Linked DNA regions of Sus scrofa. The protein of the gene in region 1 purifies or fractionates together with the protein of each later gene. This does not show direct contact. Links are inferred from orthologs where the notes say so. Each region holds a gene or a part of one and is shown in the gene's direction. Other genes may lie near its edges.

Evidence for each region. Proteins that work in one complex are often made in the same cells at the same time.
Region 2: the proteins of STRADB (region 1) and CAB39 purify together in Homo sapiens (affinity purification with mass spectrometry; 3 studies listed by BioGRID and IntAct, counting the BioPlex papers as one, with this or other methods). This does not show direct contact. The link is inferred for Sus scrofa from reciprocal best matches to the Homo sapiens genes STRADB and CAB39.

The regions. Positions count from the first base shown.
Region 1 is NC_010457.5:105,081,574-105,083,929, forward strand, and holds the end of STRADB (STE20-related kinase adapter protein beta), read left to right. Parts: intron 1-325; coding exon 326-368; intron 369-561; coding exon of another isoform or gene 562-656; intron 657-1,026; coding exon 1,027-1,170; 3' UTR 1,171-1,856; downstream 1,857-2,356. UniProt on the Homo sapiens protein: Pseudokinase which, in complex with CAB39/MO25 (CAB39/MO25alpha or CAB39L/MO25beta), binds to and activates STK11/LKB1.
Region 2 is NC_010457.5:131,491,384-131,495,374, forward strand, and holds the start of CAB39 (calcium-binding protein 39), read left to right. Parts: upstream 1-1,191; 5' UTR 1,192-1,570; intron 1,571-2,336; exon of another isoform or gene 2,337-2,454; intron 2,455-3,991. UniProt on the Homo sapiens protein: Component of a complex that binds and activates STK11/LKB1. In the complex, required to stabilize the interaction between CAB39/MO25 (CAB39/MO25alpha or CAB39L/MO25beta) and STK11/LKB1.

The DNA.
Region 1 (2,356 bases):
GCATTAGTATTTAGAAAATAAGGTGTGTGTCTTTTTGATCTTTTTTTTTTTTAGCCTCTTAACGCCTAGTGTAGTTCCTTAGAATTAGTAAGTGCATAATAAACGTTAAGTCATGGACCAATTGAATGTTATCTTTAGAATTGATTCTTCTCATTAGTCAAAGTTGAAGCTAAGAGTTTGGCTTCCTGACATATATTGTTTTTCCTTTTAATTTTTGTGTATGGTTTTAGAGCTCTAGACCTAAGTTCTAGTATAGTTTACACAAAAAAATCTATATTCTAATGTGAGGTTCTTTTTTAAAATAATTTTTTCAAAAAAATTTCAGGCCATCAGCAAGCAGTTTATTGTCCCATGTTTTCTTCAAACAGGTGAGATGATCTATTTTATGTTGTCTAGATGTTTTTTTAATACTATTAAAAAGTCATGTCATTTTGTTGGCTTGATGAGACAGTTTCATTACCAAGATTCTTAATAATAACTTTCATACAAGATAGAGTTAAAATCAAGAAAACCCTTTTGGTAGTTCAATTACAGACTTTTTAAAAAATATTTCCATTCTAGAGTTCTCTTATGGCACAGTGGATTAAGGACCAGTGTTGTTGCTACTTTGGTGCAGGGGGTTCAGTTCCTGGCCCGGAAACTTTCACATGCCCCAGGTGCTCCACTCTTTCCCCCCTGCCCTTACACCAAAAAAATAAAAAGAAAATGAAATATTTCCACTTTAAAAAACAAAATGAGTGAAAATATGGAATGTTGTCTTGTATTACTTTATCCTTAGTTTATATTTTGATTAGAGCATTTTGTTTTTCTGTATTGGCTAGAAATGAAGCAAGGGCAAAATAATCTGATAAAAATCCGTTTATTTGGCTGTTACTTCTTAGATGACCAGAATCAGAGGCGTTTTTAAGTGAAAATGCCTAAAAACAATGTAAACACTTTTAACATTTCTTTGAAAGTCACTTTTGCTATTGTAACTAATGTATTGAATTCATGTACCAATAGCCTTATTTTGAGTTTCTTTAACAGATGAAAGAAGAAAGCCAGAGTTCAATACTTTCACTGTTGCCTCCTGCTTATCGCAAGCCATCAATAGCACTGCCTCCAGTGTCACCTTGGACTGAGCCGGAATGTGATTTTCCTGATGAAAAAGACTTAAACTGGGAATTCTAGGGCTGCCAAATCCTTTTATGTCCTTTATACTTGACATTTTCTCCCTGCTGCTTTTTCTTCTGTATTGCTAGGTACAAATACTAGAATTATACTTGAAAATACAGTTGGTGCACTGGAGAATCTGTCATTTAAAACCACTCTGTTCAAAGGAGCGTGAGTTTGTAGCTCCTTTCGTTAGTTCAGAGTGCTATTATAACTCCAGGGAAACTTTGGAATTATGATGTAAGTGCATTTTGTGACATCTTTTCTCAGTTTTTTTCCCCCGAAGCTGTGACTTCTGTTTGATCTCTTAATGTAATTTTTGAGCCAGTTACTTTTTTCAGCGTTTTGCTGCCCTCAGGGGAATGAGTCCTCAGAGGACAGAGCTTCCAAGTACATTTTTTACTTCCAGATTCTCTAGCCTTTTTGATCAGCTGTTGTTACACCAACAGGCTAGTTTATCCTGGCATCAAACCCTTTTTTGGTAGAAAGGAAAATGTTTATATGGTCCCATTTTATTCTGTTAATCCTTATGGTAATATCAAACTGAGCCTCACATTAAATGATTCACTTGAAAATACATAGAGAAGGTGTAATTTGCTTTTTTTATTTTTAAAAGGCTGAAGTAACACTTTTCTACTTATGTAAATTATAGATCCTAAATTCACGCACCCTGTGGGAATTCAATAAAGATTTATTGAATTGAGTTTATGGTTAATAATTTTCTTTGTGTGGTTTGACAAAACTCAAACATAGATTCTAATTTGTTTCACCAAGGGAAGCTCTTTCTCAAACAAAGAGAGTTATTTATATAACCCGTTGCATTGAAGACAACCTGATATTTGAGTCAATGGAGACAGAAGATCTTCCAGCCCTTTATGTGATTATTCTTGCTCCTATAGGGGAGATGACATGGAGATCTTAGTGGTTTTACCTTACTGACAGAAGAGATATGCTGTCTTAAAAAGAGTATGTAGTTTGAACTGTGACAAGTTGAGACTTATCTCAATTAGTAGATTTTCTTAATTTGCACTTTATTTAACATTACATAAAAAATTATTTTTATGGGAATTCCTGTTGTGGCTCAGCGGGTTGTGGACCCAGTGTTGTCTCCGTGAGGTTGCGGGTTCAATCCCTGGCCTCACTCAGTGGGTTAAGGATCCGGTGTTGCCACAAGCTGTGGCATGGGTTGCAGATGTGGCTCAGA
Region 2 (3,991 bases), about 26 Mb from region 1:
GGTCTTGCCAGTCTTCTTATCACCAGATTATTTCAGAAGACTTCTAACTGATGTCCTGGCTGAAGCCCTCAGGCCGCTCAGGCTGGTCTTCACACCGCAATCAGAGTTATCCTTTTGAAATATTAGACCACATCCTTTCTCTGCTCAAACCCCTCCAAACAGCTCCCCATCTCATTCAGAGTAAAAGCCAAAGTCCTCACTTTAGCCTATAGGGTCTCCCCTCTTCCCTCATCTCCATCCACTCCCCTTTCCCAGGGGTCATGTTTTGCTGCAAGGTATCCCACCTGAGGGGCTTTGTCCTGGCTGTTCCCTCTGCCTTTCCATACACATATCTCACAGCAGGAGCGCTGTAAACAGCAATAGCCTGCACTCTCTCCCCTCCTTAGCCCAATTTCCATAACACTGAAAAGCATCTAATGTCATACATATGTCTGTTTATTTATTTATTGTCTCAGGAGCAGGGTCTCTTTTGTTCACTGCTCCACTATCTAGAAGAGTGCCTGGCACACAGCAGATACTCAAGAACACCTGTTCGATTGCAAATTAAAGAAACAAAAATGTACACGTGTGGCATGTTCATGTACCAGAGTCTGTTGTCAGAGCTTTGCAATGCATTGTCTCGTTCATCCTCATAAACTTATGGTACTGTATGTACTCTTATATTTGTGCATGTGTGTGTGTGTGTGTGAGAGAGAGAGAGAGAGTGGAAGAACATAGGAATGGAGTCAGGCAATAGCCTATGGTGACTGAATGGTGGAGTTGAGGTTTAAATCCAGGCTTTGAATCCTATTAAGAGTGATCATTCTATCACTTTCTACGCTCTCTTGGAGGATGTTAAAATGAGAGTGATCCGTCTCTGGCAAGTATGAAGGAATCAATCTGCACAACTTGGTCCCTGGCCTTTAGCCGAAACGAAGCTTTGTTAAGAGTTCAGGAAGTGGTCGCACAAAGTGGATTTAGGATCCCTCTGGCAAGAGCGCTGAGGCAGAGAAGCGGCTGGGCACCAACACTTCAGTGGCAGGTGAAAGGAGAGGAACTCTTCCCCTCTGCTTCCGCTTTCCCCCAGCCGCCTCCGCCTCAGGCCTCAGCGCGGACTCCTACGCCCGAGTCCGCCCAGCCGCCTGGGGGCGCCCGAGGCTGAAGGGGGCGTTGCGGCGCCGCCCGACGTCGCGCCCTCGGCGGCTGCGCAGTGCGCACGTCAAAGCCGGGCTCGGGCCGGGAGCGGGGAGCGGCGCGGCCTGGGAGAGACTGAGCCTCCGGGAGCCGGGCGAAAGCGAGGGTGAAGGCGGCGCGGGGCCCCGCAGCAGAGCCGTAGCCGCAGCCCAAGAGAGCGAGCGAGCGCAGCAGTGCGGCGGCCGCCGCGGGAGCCCCTGGGCCGCCGTCCGCCCGCGCAGCCGCCGCCGCCGCCGCGGGATCCTGTCGCTGGGAGCAGGAGCGGGCGGAAGACAACGGAGGGGCCGAGCGGCCGAGCCGCGCCGCGGGGACCGAGCGAGCAGCCCGAGGCGTCGGCGGCCGAGGACGGGGACGGCGACGACGCGGAGGCTGAGAGGGAGCCGCCCGGCCCAGCTCCGTGAGTGACCCCCGGCCCGACCCAGCTCGCGGCGTGGACGCCCGCCCGGCTTCCGCCTGCCCTGCCCGGCCCGTCACCGGCCCGGGGCTGCCTCCATTTTCTCGGGTGGTGGAGGCGGCCCCGGCCCGGTATCGGCGGGAGCGGCCCGGTCTGCCCTCTCCGCCCGGCCCGGGCCCCTCGCGGAGCCTACCCCCCTCGTCGTCCTCGCCGGCTCGGCGCCCAGGGGCCTGCAGCCGGGGCTGCGGGGCGCCACGCTCTCCTGCAAGCCCTCCGCAGTTCTTTGGCGGGGCTGGCGGCATGGGGGCGTTCGCGGCCGGAGCCCCGAGGGCAGGCGAGTGCGGGCCGGGCCAACTGTCACTCCCGCCGCGCAAGGGATCCGGCCACCTTGCTCCTGGCCCCTGGTAAACTTCCTGTTATCGGGAGGCAGATAGCATCTCTGTGGTCTGCATTTCGGGAAGATGCCTAACTGTTTTCTGGTTAGGAATTGTGCGGCCAGAGCGTTCCCGAGGTCGGTTGAACCAGCCTGCTCGCTGACTGCCTGCAGGCGCTCTGGTCGGTCCGCGCCGGAGGGATTCGAAGGTGAACCCCGGCTCGCGGTCCCCTCCCCCGAGGAGCTTACATTCTGGCGTGGGTGATAAGGCGAGTACACAAATGACTACGATACCAGGAAGGAGATGATAAGTCCTATGAAAGAACTACAAAATGCTAGAAGGGTACCCGGAGAAGACCGGCCCGATCGATCACTTCCGCCTAGCAGAAATCTGAAGGCTTCCTGGGCGAGGCTGTGCAAAGTGGGGTCTTGAAGGCCAGATGGGATTTGGGAGAGAGGAGGGTTGCAGAAGAGGAGCAGTGTGTTGGAGGAGCAGCAACGCTAGAGGACAAAGGTAAAAAGGCATAGTCGGAAATAGTAGATAATGCAGTTTGTCGTGGGGGGCAGTGGGGGGTAGGCCAAAGAGTTGGGGGGCAGATCCTTGAATGCCGTAGAGGAGCTATTTGAGTGGCATTCTAAGGGTAACTTAGAGCTCATTTCTCAGTGACTCATGGGCCCGGAAATGTAAGCTAGGAGATGTTAAAGGCGCTCTTATGAAAGAAAGGAGAGAAGGAGGCCCAGTACAGAACTGACGTTCTGTGCCTTGAACGTCATGCAGTTTGAGATCGATTTTGACAGCTTTCCGGATATTCAAATAAATCCACGTCCAGGCTAAGCAAAATACCTTTTGTGCAAAGCTTCATTCGATGTTAGGCTCTTAAGAAGTGAGGGAAAGATGTATATAAAATAAGCTCATCTGCACGTAAGGTGTTTCTCTTGGTGCTCTTCACTAAAATGCATCAGAACTTCCAGCGCTCTGTATTAGGTGTCTGCATTTTGGAATTACTGAGCTGAACATCACTTCTTTGAGTTGGCTTTTGGGTAAGGCCATCTACGTTGATGGTTTAAAAAATCAGACTGTCCAACTTTGTATCCCAGAAGATTAGTAACATAGAACTTTTTTTAGGTAAAAATTTCTTTATTAGTTTTTAGTTGTGAAAATTCTTATAGGCGAGCCAGAGGTGAAAATCTGAGGCTTTACTTTGTTTCTTTTTTTTCACCCATATCACTAGCAAATAATTAGCAGCTGTATTTGAAGTTTAGAAATATGATCTATGGAAGCAGCTTAGAACCTTTTTGGTTTTGTAAGAACTTTGTTGTTTGCTCATATGACAAGTGAATGTCAACTTCTCTCAGGTGAAAAGGCTTGTAGAATGCAGGAAGTACATAGAATTTTAAAAAATTATCTTAGCTGTAATCTTACCACTTAGATTTTGTTACTGTTAACATTTTTTCGTATTTCCTTTTCAGTCTTCTTATGTTATTTTTCTCTTAATGAAGTCATCTATAAAGTATATATCTTCTATTAGGCTTTCCTTTTTTTGTCATTAAATATCTCCATATAAAAGGTTTTTAGGGGAGTTCCCTGGTGGTCTAGTGATTAGGATTGGGCACTTTCACCACTGCAGCCCAGGTTCAGTCCCTGGTCTGGGAACTGAGATCCCTCACCATGGCACTGCGGACCATGGCCAGAAATGAATACATAAATCTAAAAAATTTTAATGAATAAATAAAAATTTTTTTAACCAAGTGTAAGGGAAGCTTCTTAAGTGTATTTTTTTCTGACATGTTTGCATTATTTACCTCAGACAAAATGTAGTCATGTTTAATATCTACTGCTGTAGACGGCTTTCTCCAAGCTTTTTCTTGTTTGAAGTATATTTATTGACAGGATCAAGATTTGGATCCTGTTGCTTATTGAATAAAGAAAGATTTTATTACTTGGAGGTGTTGTCATCAGATATGGAAGAGGTCACATATGTGTGCTGTATGAGGGGATGTATTTTTTAAAAGGCACTATAGAAAGGTTGCTTTCATAGCTGCTGTATCTC